Lonchura striata: one gene and its partner. The protein of the gene in region 2 binds, or shares a complex with, the protein of the main gene of each other region. Links are inferred from orthologs where the notes say so. Each region holds a gene or a part of one and is shown on either strand. Other genes may lie near its edges.

Region 1 (8,016 bases), on a different chromosome or scaffold from region 2:
CTCACCGTTTTATATGGACAGAATAGCAGCTTTAGAGAAGAACAGAATAGTAACTTTAGCAGATAAAACAAGTACATATCATGAGAGACAACTGGGTGCATTACATTCATCTCACTCCTGGGTTATGGAACAGTCACTGCCCAGCTGCATTACAGAACCTGCCAGAGGGCAAGAAGGTGCTATTAGAATACTCTGGGACAAACTCCACTTCATCAGACATCCAATCTGAAAGTAAAACTGTGTGGTTCTTACCATACAGCAAAATGTCAGTTTTCTTGTCATCAAGTATGCTGTGTTTACTGGTAATTATTTTTATGTGAAAGCTCAGTAGTGGTCTACTATTTTACTATAAACTATTTTGGAGAAAATTCACAGGGGTGATGCATAAATCTCAAAGGCTCTTAGTAATGAACTATTCAGAATTTTTTTGGAACTTTTTTTTATACCATAGGAATATTCCAAAAACAACTTTGCAATACTTACTGTTATAATCCTTGATATATTATGCTGCAGACTGAGAGCTGCATGAAGTCAGTGCTAAATTAGCCAGGACTAAGTTTACATCTTCATTTTAAGTATAGGACTGGAAATGAAAGAACTATGTGTGGCAGTAACTAGTGTGATTTGAAAACATGCAGATCACCAATACTGGATAGCATAGGAATGGAAGCACAAGGCAACCACTCCTTGAAACTTTCACAATTCCAGCAGTTCAGCAGTGCTACAGAAAACATGAAGCTCCCTGTCTGATGGAAAACACCCCTAGCTTGCACCAAATGTAGGTAAATACAAACCTTAAGGTCAAAGTCAGCACAGCAGAAGTTTACTGCCTTTACAAATAACCACACAGTGTCTGCTTCACCTGCCAAGCAGAGCCTGTAACACTGACACAGCTGGCAAGGGTTGCCAGCATCGCCCAATCCTAAGGGAAACGGAGTCACACACTCTACTATGGTATCTGCTACAGGTGAAGTGACAGATCTGTCAAACCTTCCTGATGCCACTGCAGGCAATATAAAAATGACAGAGAAGAAAAAGTTATTTTTCATCATTACACTGACTTCTTGAAACATATCATGCTTTCTCTGGAAAATGGGCAAGGCAAATGGAGGAACGGTAACTTAAACATTGCCCATTCTAGTGAACAGGGAAAGTTCATTTAATAAGCAATAAACCACAGCTAATTATTAATTACAGTCGTATCAAGTGGCCCATGACTTGTATTAATCAGTCTCTAAATGGAGCACAGCATCCATGACTGAGCTGCGCTAAGTTGAGAATGTCAGCTCTGTCCATAATTTATGATGATCCTCCATAAATCTGTTCAGTTAACACAATGACACCGGCCATGTGGGCACATTAACCAATTTTTTTCCTGACAGTTGTTGGAGCTGTAACAAAGACTCGCATGGAGCAGCCAGAAGCAAGATTTCCACTCTGAGTCACTTCTCTCTGAGAATCTTTGGATGTGGAAGGACTTGGTAGCTTGATGAACTTGTGTGGTGTCACCAGAAGATGTCTGCCCTGTTCTGTGCACACCTATTGAAACTAGTAAATGCCCTAGTTTTAGCTTGGCAGTCCACAGTTTGTAAGAGATGTCATCTAGATGCATTTTATATGGAATAATTTCCTTTTCTGTAACACTCAAGTACTTTGTGCATGAATCCACACATACAGCAACATATATCTGGTTTTTAGCTACACTATGTTTTTATTAAATCCTTGCACTCTTTGAAAACAACATCCACACAAACCCTATGGAGATCACAGAATCAATGAGGTTAAAAAAGACCTCTGAGACCATGGAGTCCAGCTTTTAACCAAACACCATCATGTCAACTATACCACTGCACAAAATGCCACATCCAGTCTTTCCTTAAACACCTCCAGGGACAGTGACTCCACCACCTCCCTGGGCAGCCCATTCCAATGTCCAATCACCCTTTCACTGAAGAAATTCCTCCTAATGTTCAATCTAAACTTCCTCTGCTGAAGCTTGAGATTATGCCCTCTCGTTTGTTGCCTGGGACAAGAGGCCAATCCCCATCCAGCTACACTCTCCTTTCAGGAACTGTAGAGTGTGGTAAGGTCACTCCTGAGCCTCCTGTTCTCCAGGCTAAACACCCACAGCTCTCTCAGCTGCTCCTCATCAGACTCATGCTCCAGACCCTTCCCCAGGCTCCACTCCCCTTCTCTGGACTCTCTCCAGCACCTCCGTGTCCTTCTAGCAGTGAGGGGCCCCGAGCTGGACACAGCACTCGAGGTGCAGACATACAGAACTGTAGGCACGAAAACACATGTTTACATTCTGTCTTCCTGTACAGCCAGGTTCCTGCTGCTGACACACAACACAAGGTCTCTGAGCTGTTCCCTGCGCATTCACCAGTGCCCCCTAGACACAGTGTGTGCACGCCCTGACCCCCAGCCCTGCGGAGCTGCTCGCACCGTGCGCGGCACGGGCTACGAATACACGAGCCCTTCCTGCCCCCATGGGCGACAGCCAGGTCCGGAGCGCCGGGCAGCTCACGCTCCCCCGGGACAGGACGCTGCTTCCCCCGCACTGCCCCGACCCCCGCGGGCAGGGCGGGCTGTCACTGCGCCCCGCCCGGCTCCCGCTTCCCGCCCCGCCTGCCCGGCAGGTGCCGCCCGGGCGGGGCGGGGGCCCGGCCCCGGCACCCCCGAGGGCAGCGGGGGTCGCACCCTCGGCACGGAGCTCCCCGCCCGCCGCTCGGGCCGGGACCGCGCCCGGGAGGGGCGGCGGCGGGGGGGGGGGGGCCGGCCCGGCCCGGTTGCCAGGGAGGAGGCTCGGGCTCCGGCCCCGCACAGCGCCCGCGGCGGGAGGGAGGGAGCGAAGAAGGGAGGCGGGCGGGCGGCGGGGCGCGGCGCGGGTGTCCCGCCGGGACGAGGGGGCGGCGGGAGCGGGGGCGCCGGTCCCTACTCACTCTCGTCAGGCAGCTGATCCAGCTCCGCCATCTTGAACGAGCCGCGCCGCTTTTTCAAAGGCTGCCTGGCGCGGGGCATTCTGGGGGAGGAGACGGGGCCGGGCGCGCGGCGGGCGCGCGCGCGGGGCGGGGCCTGCGCCCGCGCGGGGCCGGGCGGCGGGGCCCGCGCGCCGCTCCCGGCAGCCGCGGCTCGGCAGCGCGGGAGGGAGCGCCGCCGGCCCGGGGCCCGCTAAGGACTCGGAGCGGACCTCACACTACTTCCAGTCGAGTTCCAGCTCCCTGCCACCGGCTCCCACTAGACCAGGTTGCTCAGAGCCCCATCCGAACTGGCTTTGAACGCCTCCAGGGCTGGGCTAGCCAGAGCTGCTCTGGGTAACCTGTTCCAGTACCTCACTGGAAAGACTTTTTTCCTAATACCTAATTTTCCCCTCTTTCAGTTGGTACCCATTACTCATGGTCCTGTCGCTACTGCAGCTCCTGACAGTCCCTGTCTGGCTTCCTTCAGATACTGGAAGGTCGCCATGAGGTCTTCACACAAACTTCTCCACGCCTGAAGAGCCCCAGCTTTCTCATCCTGTTGTCATAGGGTAGGTGCTCCAGTCCTCTTATCACCACCATGCTTCTCTAAATTTGCTGCAGCAGTTCCCTGTCGATTCTTACGATGCGGGATGGGGGGGAATGTGTGATTGGCAGTTCAGGATGGGAGGAAAGGGGTGGAGGTGTTGGCTGTCACAAAGGATCACCCCGAAGTAGCTGTGCTAGCTTTGAGTCTTTAAACAATCCCATTACATTATACCCATCCTCCTTCACTGAGTAATAACTTTTTGCTAAACTCTGCCAGTTTTCCTTGTTGCTTTTCATAAGTGACTGCTGAGGTGAGGCTCCAGGAGTCCGGGATCACAACAATCCCGGCCCAGCCAGCCCTGGCCCTGCTGTCACAGCCTGTGGCACCTCGCCCAAGAGGCGGCTGAAATGCTCACCGAGCCCAAGGCCTGAAGGTCAAGGTCTCACTTGTTCTCACCCGGTGCCAGGGAAAGCCAACAAACCACAGAAGTGGGTGGCTGTTGCCTAACAAGCTCCTTGTCTTGGCCTGCCCTCTACCATCACACCCCTGAAAGCTTTCTTCAAGCAGCAGCAGTGGGTTTTTTTGGTGTAGTTTTCTCAGATCTCTGCACTACAGTGAATTCTAAAGTATCAATAAATATAAGCATGGAAATACCATCATGAACCACAAGCACCTTAATTGCTCATGGACCACACTCTCCACATAGTTTGGCTTTGATAACACTATTATACCAACCAAAATTCCTTTTTTTAAGGTATAAAAATAAATGTAAAAATGCAAATTGAGCCTCAAAATAAATAAACAGTATATCTTAGTAAAGGCTAAATCTGTGTCACATGTTAAACATATTGCCAAGAGCACAGTGGTATAATACAAAATGGATGCTATGCCTCATTGTATGCAGGTCTTTGAAAGCACCTAGGTGAAACCAAAGATTCTACACAATACAGAAAATGTCTATCTTGTGACATGGAATAGAGTTTGTGTTCTTAATTTGCTAATGAACTCAGATGACTAGGCACTCTAGCAGGTTGACAGGGGCAGGATATAGGTCATGTTATTAAACAATTTTAACACATAAATAAATAAAATCAATGTTGCCCTTGTGCTCAAGGGGGAAAAAGCCAGTTTTTAAGTGAAGAAACAAACTGAGTGAAATGCTTTAGAAATTCCCCCCAGGGCTTTCTATGCACATTGTAGCAGAGCTAAAAAAAGAAAAAAAAAAAGAGGAAAAAAATTACAAAGCCTAGCTTGCATTTCCAGCCCCTTTTTCAGATCATTTTGAAAGGTTGTTTAAACAGCTTTCCCTCCCCTTAGCCCCCAAAGGGTCTAAGACACCTCACTTGGAGCTTTCCATACTGTACAGCTCCAAAGAAAGCTGCTACCGTAGACACTTGAAAAGAACAACACTAAAGAAACTAGTAACAAAACATGACTAAATAGTAATCTGTGCTACATCAAACACCAACTCCCCCAAGCATTAAATTCTGCACAATTTTCCCCTTTTAATAAAACAGTTCCACCACCCAGAACGCCTGACATGGACCAAACCTTCCAGGCTCAGTTAAACAACATGTTAATGACACCAATATTTCTCTGTACTTCAGCTGTGCTCCCCTTGTTCCAAGGGCTGTATGGTAATGCTCAGCTCAGACTGGCGACACTGAGACTTCCACAGCTGACAGAGACACTGATCATCAGCAAGGTTTTTACTGCTGTGCTTTGTGAACCTTGTCATCAGGTGTGGCTGCCAGCGTTGCCCAGAGCCATCCCAATGCTGGAGCTTTCCCTGAGCAAGGGCTTTGCTTGGGAGGGGTGAAAAGTATTTTACAACACAATCACATTTTGCAACAGTCCTCAAGAGTATGAATTTCTACAAGGGGAAAATGAAAAAGGAATCAAGCTCAGTGTCTTTCAGGGAGTCTTTGTAGACTGCAACAAAACCAGATGAAAAAGGTGAGATTTTTCCCTCTCACCAAACATCTCCTGCCAATCATTTCACAAATTAACAGGTGTGAAGATAGACTTCCGCTCCCAACAGCACAATGATGATTATTCCTTCATTTCATTCCAACAGCTGCACTTGGAAAATATTTAACAGAAACCATTACCATTCACTATTTTGAAAGGGTAACAATCAACACTGTATTTTTATTCCTGGATAAATAACCTTTTACATCTTGGCCTTTATTGGATGCTGTATCTCTGTGTTCTGGTTTTTCGTGTCTCCTGTGTTTGCCGTTTCCAAGTCACATAGATGCGACCCCATTTACAAAGCCCCAGCCAGGGCCATTGGTCAGTGTGCACACCAACACACATTTTCAGTGCATCCTTTTACCATTCTGGCAAACATGCAGTTTGCACTTGGGTGACGTGGAAATGACACAACTCTTCTGACAGGCAGGGTGACTGAAAACATCTGTGCTCTCTGCCAACAATCTGCCTTAGGTGCTGCTGACTCACCTGCGTGGCACAGCTGCAGGGAGGTCTCTAAATGGCTGCACTGCTGCCATTCGCTCTTGCCAGGGTCACATTAGGCAACTGCTCCTAATGGTGTGTGCTGAAATGCTGCAGAGAGCACTGCCACACTCCCATTACTCCTCAGTTGCTACAGATGATAGTAAGACATGGGTTACAGCACCTACTGACCAATGCATTCAGAGTCCTGTCAGTACAGAGCAGGTAGTGCTGCATCCAGGGGACAGCTATGCTGCCATTTTCTCATCTCCCCTAGGCAGGCCCTGGCAGTAGGAAAAAAAGCAAGGACAGCTGGCAGAAGAGAGTGCTCTTTAGTCACTGAAGCATCTTCTTGTGAAGTTTTGAGTCCTGCTGCATTAATTACATTATGAAATTAGACTCTAATGAGAGGGTGTAGTAGTTTTCCCTTTGAAGCAGTAGTTTCTCCTTTGAGTTGTTAGGAAGTCATTCTTCTCATCTTGCCTGTCCCTGTGTATCTCACTTCTGTGGAAGTGATCTGAAATGCCCACAACAGACCCACATGCTACCTTCACACCAGAACAAATTAAAATCATCACAGCAACTCATCTTGGCTGGGACCTGCACCTGCATTTTCTTCTCACAGGTGCCACTTCATCTCCAAAATGACCATTTCTGGAGAAGAGCCTGGCATTAATTTTAAAGTGAAAGCACACACAAACTCTTGTTCAGATGCATGTACTCCACAACAGTGGCAACTATTTTTATGGGCATAACAGGAGCATAAGTATAATGGAATAAATCAGGGGCCTCAACACATACATAAAAGCAATTCAGGCAAAACACTAAGTGGGCTATAAATTGGCTGCAATAGCACTTCAGCAGACAATTACATCATTATGTCCCCAGAATTCACAGTGAGGTCTGTAACCATCCCCCTGAAAACAAGCTGAAGCAGAGACCTCAGTCATTACAAACACTGCAGGCCTCATTTAAGAACAGGAGTACAATTATTTATGGCATTGACAAGTTTCACGTGCCCAGAGGTCTTTTTCATATAGAAATTATTTGTTTGGAAGTTTCCCCCTGCACTTTCTGCTGATTAGAAACTGAAGAAGGGCAGGGGCAGAATGTCATTGTTTTATGGCAAAAATACCAGGATGGGCAACTTGTGCTTTAATTTTTTTTTCTCAGGTATTTTTTCCCTGCATGAACTCGGGCAAGTCACAAAGAATTTACACTGACTGCTAATCAGTAAGCCTAGGCTGGCTTCCTTCAATTAACTGCATAGACTATCTTAATGTCTGTGAGCCGTTGTACAACAGAGCCTGCCACAATGCCAAATAAAGACAACACAGTTAAATATTTATAAATTACTGCTTTTGGTAGTTTAACATTTAGATGAGAAGCCATTCCTCAACATGTTTCCCCTGAAAAAAGCACAGGATGTCATGGGACCTAATGTCTTGAAAAGTCGTTCCTTTCAAGTGCTTTTGACAGAAATGGGGCTGCCTATTCACGCAGCTCTGCTCTGTGCTCGCACTGCCAAAGCAATGCTTTCAGTGAGTGGCACATGCTGCTCCTCCCAGCCTGGCCCCGGGGAGAGGCCTCTCATCCACCTCCAGGAGAGTGGATCCGCTCTGCTCGGACAGCTGGCAGCACAAGCAGCACTTGGGCTGACATCAGATTTCACTGCAGGACAGTGACAGGGCTCTCCTACAGTCCCCAAAGGGTACCTGCTACCTCTTTAGAAAGTCCTGTACTCTTCCTGCTGTATTTGTGAGGTTAGGGACAGTTTGTGATGCACTTGCTTGTGCTGCAATTACAACTGAGCACTATATACACAGCACGAAGTACTCCTTGTGCTGCTTGGGTTGGAACAACAGGGAACTTTCAGCTATCTCTAGTATGGGTGACAGAGAGAGCAGCTGCCTTCAACTCCTGGTCCCAAACTGAACTGTAAACTGCTTATTTAGAGGGTGAAAAATCATCTATCTTCTAACTAAACAAGTTCTCATGTTCTCTTTCAGAGACTGACAACATCATACTTAAGTGACTTACCAAAAGGGATTT
Region 2 (7,951 bases):
TAACCTTGGATGTATATTCCAACCTTAATGAGTCTCTATTTCATTTGTTTCATGCCAAACCTCTGTGTGTCATTTCCATGGTTCTGTAAAAGAAGCAGTGAGAAATGCTGTAGTAATAACTAATCACTTGGGAGTTGACTACACTTTAGGGACCGTCTTTTAGGAAAGAGCACTAATTTACATTTCAAATTTATTAAAAGAACTTCACACTGTAGTGTGTGGTACCAAAACAGAATCCTTGTGTGGTGAACCTTTGATTGAGTGGCTGCTCCCAGTCCTGTGAGGTGCTGGCTCAGCCTTCCCAATGAAAACAGGATGTGCTATTTCAGAAAGCTGTGGTGGTGAAGGTACTGCACTGCTTGTGCCAGGGAGGAGCCAGTCTGTCCTGCTCTGCCTCCATCTCCCAGATCCTCAGGGGAAGCAGAAAGCAGAACATTGGTCTTTTACATCAGAAGCTGATCAAACTTTAACCAGCAATGTTTGGGCAGACAGCAACAACACAAACTATGAGGGTGTCAAACTCATTTCAGAAGGCAAGAATCTTGGTATCTGAGTTTTGCCATCATTGTTCCATCCTTCTTTACCCTGGCCACTGAGAAAGCATTTCTGATATCCTTTAGAGCTTCAGGAGTGCAACTGAAAGTGGTGTCTCCTTCACTGCTTTTTAAAAACCCAAGTCCAGCTTGTGACATAAATGGTGCCTGCATGAAACAGAAAATACTCTGACCAAAATTGATGTCAGTATGTTTTCAGGGTGAGCTATTAGGGCCAATTTAGTTCCTCAGCTCTCAGCTATCACCTGGGTCTCATGGAGCAAAACTGAAACTGCAAATAAGAATGTCTAGTTGTTATGCTGGGTGATAATTCTGGCATACATGTGACTAAATTCTTTTGGAATGTTCAGTTATTTTTACAGCATAAAAATGGAATTTTCAAATGCTGCCCCTTGGTTCAGTGGCTTTGGAGTTGCTTTTGACTTTTTAAAAGGGCTTCTTCAAGTCCAATATAAGTTCAAAACTGTTGTCTTAGAGATCTGTAAAGAAAAATGTGTGGCAGTCAACCATGCTGCGTTTTCTTTCCAAGGTCTTTCCACCTGCTTTCAAAGAATTGCCTCCTCCTGCTCTGGAACTGTTTGACTTGGATGAAACTTTTTCCTCAGAGAAAGCACGTCTTGCAGAGATTACAAACAAATGTAAGTGGAGAAGATTGTTTGCACGTTTAAAATAAAAGTCCAGTTTTTTTAGAGGAAATTTCTAATATTGAATGTTAAAGCATGCACCTCATTTGGGAAATCTACTGCTCTTATCCTGATCTAAGAAATTGAAAGGCTTTGGAAATTAATAGCATGACTTTATGTACCATGACATTATGTTTTGTCTGTTGCATGACATTTTATCGTGTTTCTTCCCGTTTCCTATATTGTGCATTGCTTTGTGCACTCTTGCTGATAAATTTCACATCTTGTTTATGCTTTTAAGTTAAAATGTTAAGATTATTATAAACACCTAAAGAAGATGAGCAGGTACTGGCTGCAGGAATACGTTATGGCTAGTCCACTGAGCTTAGTGATGGGACTGAGCCTCCCAGGATGCCAGCAGCAAAAGGAGATTCAGAGCAGGTTTCTGGCCAGCTGCTCCAGATGTGTGAGACTCACCTGCCTTCTTCCCTGGGTGCTTGTTTAGGCACTGATGATGACCTGGAGTTCTACGTGCGGAAATGTGGTGATATCCTGGGAGTGACCAGTGAACTCCCAAAGGACAGGCAAGATGCCAAATATATCCTGGAGCACATCTTCTTCCAAGTGGTTGAGTTTAAGAAACTGAATCAGGTATTTTTAATAGCAATTACAAGTGAGTAGTTGGTAGTAGCAGCAGTAAGGGTGGTGTATCATTGTAGCAGTTACAGTTGTCACAGGCAAGAGGTGATGTGAGACATTAGCTGTGCTATAAATGAGACCAGTCAAGTGTGATCCAGAGTACTTATGACTCTTAATCTCCATAAAATGTGTACTGCTCAATTTATTAAGTCTCTCATTTATTTTAATTGGGGAATTAGTACATGCAAGTGTAGTTTGTAATTGCAGCTAAATCTGGTTCATTAGTGGTGCCTGAGTGAGAGCAGGGAGCCCTCAGGAGTGTTCACTGCTCTGGCCAGTGCTGCTGTGCAGAGGTGACCAGCATTGTTCTTCAGGAGCTGCACTGAAATGCAGCTGTGCTGAAAGAATTCTTCATAGCAAATTTAACGTTTCAAAGTGTGTTTGGAGCATATTGGCAGAGCAACAGTTTGTGCTAACAAGAATTGTCTGTTTCACATAATCTAGTTAAGCCAAAAATCTTACAGTTCTACCCTGTTGTTAAAACTCTTTTTTCTTCCTTTTTTTTCCTTCCTCTTCCCTTACTTAAGGAACACGATACTGACCAAAGTGAAGCTGGATTCCAGAACAGTACCTGAGAGCTGGCTTTCCCCAGTTTGAGATAGACCTTTTAGGGAAAGTATATTTTTCCATTTTTAAAGTCTCTCTTCTCAGTGTATTGATTGGGACTGTCTCAGTAGTTCACTGGATGCTTGGATCATTTATGTGTAGTAGTTCAGATAATTAATGCCTTCTGGGGAACTGCTTGTATTTCACAAGCACTTTCCAAAGAATTTCTTATTTTTCTACTTCTTTATTGAAACTGTAATTTTTTAATATATTAAAAAAATAATATACCAAGAAAATGTGTTTTGGGTCCTTTCTGGCTCCAGCATTTATTTTCTTGTAGTTAAGTCTGCCTTACCTGTTGGTTCTCCTGTTGTACATGAAATCCTTAATTGCACTGTGAGAAGGGTTGTTATTTTGGTTTGTTAACTTAGGACAAAAAAATAGAGCCATAATTTTAGCAGGAGCTGCTGAAAATACATGTATCACCCTGAGGCAGCCTCATTTTGTCTCTCTGCCAAAGAGAACTAAGGAGAGGTGAGTTTGTTACTGTAGAAAGAAAACATTTCTTCCAAGGGAGGGGCAGATTTGAAATTAAGCAATAATGACATTGTTGCAGATTGCTGCCTCATATCAGACTGGAATTACAGAATTTTAAAAAGAGAGGACAGCACATGGATGCAAACCTTAAGATTGAGTGGATCATTATTAAGACACTGATACTGCACAGAAATTAATGGATATTTTTACTTCCATTTATTTGATATCTAGTCCACTCCCTGAGGTAGTGAGTTCAGTAATACGCAGGAGTGGAAATCCAGGTTAAATTAATTTTCCGTGAAATGTTGAAGCTCAATGCACAGCAAAAATAGAGCCAAGGAGATCAGTGGTGAGAAGAAAAGATTTTTGTCAACATCATCACCACCACACCTCTATTGCAAGGACTTGTTTTTATGTTAATGTGGTGAAATTGCATTATAAAGCCTTTTTTGGCTGTCAGACTGACACTCAGATTGTTAAATTCTTCCCCCACTCAGGACTTCAATGACTTCTGTGTTTTACCTTGCTCTGCCATGGTTTTTAAAATCAGAACTGCTTTTTGCAAAAAAACCTGTTCATCTTTTTATCCCTCCAAAATACCTTTTTGTTTTACATTTCATGCTTCACATAGCATTTTGGCACAGGTTTTTCTAAAGGAGGTGCCCCAAAGCCCCTGCCAAGTTCCTGCCCAGTTGAGATGTGCTAATGTTAGCAGAAGTGGTTGTATCTCTTTCTCCACTGCAGCCGTTCCCTTTCACAGCAGCATGTTGGAAATTTTTCATTTCTTCTTCTGTTTTCCTTTAAGGCCGTGGTTGTGTTTGTCACCCAGAGCACTTTGTACATTCCAGCTCCAGATTTACACAACAACCTTAATCTCTTCTCCTGTGCAGTAGCAATAGCAATCAGTCAGCCAGCACAGGGTGCAGCTGAACCAACCCCCTGAGTGCTCCTGTTGCTAATTATAGCTCCAGTTTGTACTCTTCTGGGGTGTTTATACTTCAAACTGTAAATAACTTTCTGTTTCCAAGTTGTTTTGTCACCTGTTTCTGATGTAACATGGTTTAAAAAAAGCCATGTGAGCAGCCCGGGGATACAAGCAGCTCCCTGTTTTCTGGGTGTCTCTCAGGCCTCTGACAGCTGAAGAACACATTTTTTTACTGAATGGATGTTTTTCTTACTAGTGTGGAATACATGTAGCTCACATCTCTCTTTCAAAGCTGTCCCTTTGGCCCTCTGGAAGTATTTAAACTGACTTTGTTACTAGAAACACTTTAGTCATGAGAGTATGATGCATATAAATTTTATGGCTGACTGACAGAATTTCCAAGGAGTAGAAGTAGGTGAGTGCTTTCAAGAGGTGAGGTGAGGCCAGGGGGAACACGTTGGGCAGGTAGCTAGTGAGGGAGTTAATATATAAATCAAATTTCTGCTGTGATTTTCAAAAGTTGGTTTCAAGCAGCTCTTGCTGCTTTCCCTTTTTTTCTCTGTCCTCTCATGCAACATGACTCATTATCCCCTAATATGCCCCTAAAAGAAGAGGGGAACAGTACACTGGTTATAGAGCAAATGTCCTGAAAAGCTGTTTTAACAAGTTCTTCCTCCCTTTCTTTGCTGTAAGCAGAGACAGGAGAGGAAAATCAGGATTGCATATGGGTGGGGTGCGATCTAGCAGGAGAGCGTGAAAAATCTAATGGGGTGGGTGCGATGGCCTAGGCTCCTTTCCTTGCCTCGGAGCAGGGTTTGGATGTGACAGAGGAAATGGTCCCTGCGCGGTGGCGGCTTGCCGCGGCCAGGACGAGCAGCGGCACCCCGCATGAGGCAGGCGGGCTGTGCCCGGGGCGCTCCCCGCTGCCGGGCTGTGCTTTCCCGGCGCGCCAGGAGAGGGATCCGCGGCCCCGGGCGCGCCTCCGCCCGCGCTCCCGGCGGGCAGCGCCGGCCCCGCAGCCATGGCCCCGCGGCTGCGGCCGCGTCCCGCTGCCCCTTCTCCGCCGGGACCCGCCCCGACCCCTCGGCCAGGTAACGGGGGCGGGCGGGCGGGGGTCCGGGCACCCCCAGCTCGGAGGGGGCTGCACGGAGGCCGGCTCTGGGCGTTCAGGGGGCTCAGCTTCAGGCCGGGAGGGCAGCGAGAGTCAGGGACCACCAGCAGAGAGACATTTATATCTTTATTGTGCTAATACAAAAGAGCGATCGGGGAGGAGGAGGAGCCAGCAATGCTGCGGCTCTCGGAGGTGCCATCACCAGCTCAAACATCCCCCACCACCAGTGCCGACTCGGCCACCCCAGGTGAGCAGATTTAGCTCGTCACCAGCTGCTGCCATCACCACTCAAGCCGCTGGCTCCATCTTCTGTGCTGCAGCGTGGATCCCTGCTCCTCGCAGGAGGGGAGGGGGCAGGCACCAGCAGCTCCAGCTGGAGGCAGGGCAGCAGCATCACAGAGCCTGCTGCAGAAACACAGGGACAGCGTCAGGGTCACTCAGCTGGGTCTCCTGGGTGGCAGACCTGTGGATCAGTGTGGGGTGCTTCTTGAAGGCACTGGGCCAAGCCAGAGGAATCACCACAGGGGTCTCCAGGGATGATGTGTCTGGTTTGGAGCATCCCAGTAAACGTAACTCCTCTGTGCTGACATCGAGGGATGTACTGGTATCCATAAAGGATTTTATTGCCGAGATGTCCCACCTGGGTGCTGGCACTTTCCCAAGGGCTGAGATGTCACCAGCCAGCTCAGAGCTCTTGAAGAGAAGGCTCTCCAGGGGTTTGAAGTGCTTGTCTTTATTGCAAGGTGTCGAAGTATTCTGTGATCCCACATTCATCAGGCAGCTATCTCTGCTAGGGTGCTCACAGGGCAAACCAGACAGCTCACAGGTGGCCTGGCCATGGTGGGCCTTGCAGAAGCAGACAAGACTGAGGTCAGAGATGCCCTGGGTCAAGCTGTGCAGCTCCGGCTTCACACAGCTGGTCAGAGACTCTGCCTGCTTGACAACACACAGGGAACTGCCACTTGCTGTGCTGTCCAAGTCCATGGGAAGCTCCCAGGTTTCATGTTTGGAAGCACTGCTAGAGTCCTTGTAATAGCTCACAACAGGAGAATAGCTCTGGCTGGAGGAGCTGGCCAAGAACCCGTTTTCCAGGATTTCCTTTCTGGTCACAATGCTGGTGCTGTGCTTCTGGGTGGACAGCATGGTGCAGAATCCAGCAGCTCTCTGGCTTAGAGAGATAAGGATGAGCCTGTCAGGATAAACCTGTTACTATTCACTAATGGTTTACAGACTTACAGTAGCAGGACCACTCTTGGCAAAATCCCATCTCACTGTTGCAGGACCTTGAGCAGGTTTCAGGACATGCAGGGGCATCCAGCCTGGCTCTCTCTTTTAGAGTAAAACAACTCCACTACAGCCTGTTAGTAGCTCAGAGGTCATAGCAGAATCTCCCTGAAGCTGTATTTATTTGACCTCAGCCTGTATTATCACTAGTCTTAACTTTGTACAGGGGATAGAAGCATTTTAGCCTCACTCCTGCAGTCAGAGGACCACTCACCCCAGCTAGAATTGAATCCCTCTGAGGAGGCACCAAAACCAGGCTCTGGCTAGGATGGGAAAAGTTGAAGGGCAGGTCTCATCTTACTTTTAGTGCTGTACACAATAACTCTCACCTCCAGCTCAGCCAGGAGCTGACTTCCAGATCTTTCCTGAGAGACTAGGGCAGGCCAGGGAAGGGGATAGCTATATTCCCAACCCAGCTTTACTCTGAATACATGCTAAACAGTCATAAATAGCGTCTGAATTTACTGCAAAGGGACTGTATGGTCAATCTAGAAGGAAAGTATTATTTAAGAGACTAAAACCATCTTATCTTAGCATATAAGAAATGAAAGAATAAGAAAACAATAAATAGTACCTTCAGCTCCTGTGAAGACCCTTTGAGGTTCCCAAGCCTTTTCTGCCAGTGTTACTTAGAGCAGTTTTATAGTTCTGGTAATCAATTAACAGGCTGATTTCCTAATTAAGCTAGTTTGGGAGAGGGAGGGGCTTCTGTTTGCCTCTTTTTAAGCACAGGGGTAGTGAAGGTGGGCCATGGCTGACTGATGGAGGTACTCTGAGATCTGTGAGGGATGGGTTATATTTGTCCTGTCAAAGAACCTTAATAAGGCTTTACTTTCTTTTAAGTGTTGCCTTGTGTTTTGTGAGCTGTTGATTAGGAATATCCACAAGTACAGACTTTTCATTGATGAAATAGACAGTACGTGTTGGAATATTTGAGTAATGCTCTCAGGCACAGGGTTGAACTGTTGTAGCTGTCCTGGACAGGGCCATAAGTTGGACTTTGATGATCTTTGGGGGTCCCTTCCAGCCTGGAATATTCTGTGATTCTTTAAGGTGTGATGTTCCTGCCCTGTGCCTGAGGCTGCTACATTTGGGAGGCTCAGGTTAGTGTGAGAGGGCCTGAGGGTAGAAATGGGGGTCCAAGGTTGGGGGGTGTGAATGGAGGGTATCCTGGGCTGGTGTGGGGGGGAAGGGGTCCCAGTGGTTTCAGGTGGATGAAGGGGTCCCGGGAGTCCTGAGTCCATGGGGACGTGGAGGTGCTGAGGATAGAAATGAGTAAACATGGGTCAGTGTAGGGCAGGGTGAGGGAGAGTCCTGGGTCAGTGTGGGGGATCCCCATGCTTTGGGGTTGGTACAGGGGTGGATGCAGAGGGATCTTGGGGTCGGTGCTGGGCCGGATGGGGAGGGTCGTGGGGGGCCCAGGTCGGTGTGTGGGTGGATGAGGAGGTTCCTGGTGGGAGCTTGCATCAATGCGGGGCTGGATGCGGTGGGACTTGGATCAGTGCAGGGTCGGTGCAGAGGTGGATGTGCGGGGTCCTGGATCGGGTGCTGTGTTAGATGTGGGGAGTCTCGGCAGTCCCAGTTCGGTGCAGAGGTCCTGGGGCTGGATGCGGGGATCCCGCAGGATGTGCCGAGGTATACAGGAGTCTGGATGCAGGTGTCCCGGGTCAGT

What was found. The genes of interacting proteins can lie anywhere in the genome.
Region 1: the proteins of MYBL2 (region 2) and LIN9 are in contact, whole or in part, in a crystal structure (PDB 6C48), measured with the Homo sapiens proteins. The link is inferred for Lonchura striata from reciprocal best matches to the Homo sapiens genes MYBL2 and LIN9. Residues at the interface, in NP_002457.1 of Homo sapiens: Trp663, Ala667, Cys668, Gly669, Gln674, Met677, Gln678, Ala681, Arg682, Leu684, Leu685, Arg687; in NP_001353174.1 of Homo sapiens: Lys356, Gln385, Arg386, Tyr388, Ala389, Thr390, Val392, Leu393, Leu395, Glu396, Asn399, Leu402, Asn403, Leu406.

Annotation. Positions count from the first base shown.
Region 1 is NC_134605.1:17,660,023-17,668,038, forward strand, and holds the start of LIN9 (protein lin-9 homolog), read right to left. Parts: upstream 3,022-8,016; coding exon 2,943-3,021; intron 1-2,942. UniProt on the Homo sapiens protein: Acts as a tumor suppressor. Inhibits DNA synthesis. Its ability to inhibit oncogenic transformation is mediated through its association with RB1. Plays a role in the expression of genes required for the G1/S transition.
Region 2 is NC_134619.1:11,069,650-11,077,600, forward strand, and holds the start of MYBL2 (myb-related protein B), read left to right. Parts: upstream 1-4,868; 5' UTR 4,869-4,975; intron 4,976-5,388; coding exon of another isoform or gene 5,389-6,138; intron 6,139-7,951. Other genes in the region: IFT52 (intraflagellar transport protein 52 homolog), read left to right, coding at 1,084-1,192, 1,683-1,828, 2,404-2,451; uncharacterized protein LOC144247204, read right to left, coding at 5,389-6,138. UniProt on the Homo sapiens protein: Transcription factor involved in the regulation of cell survival, proliferation, and differentiation. Transactivates the expression of the CLU gene.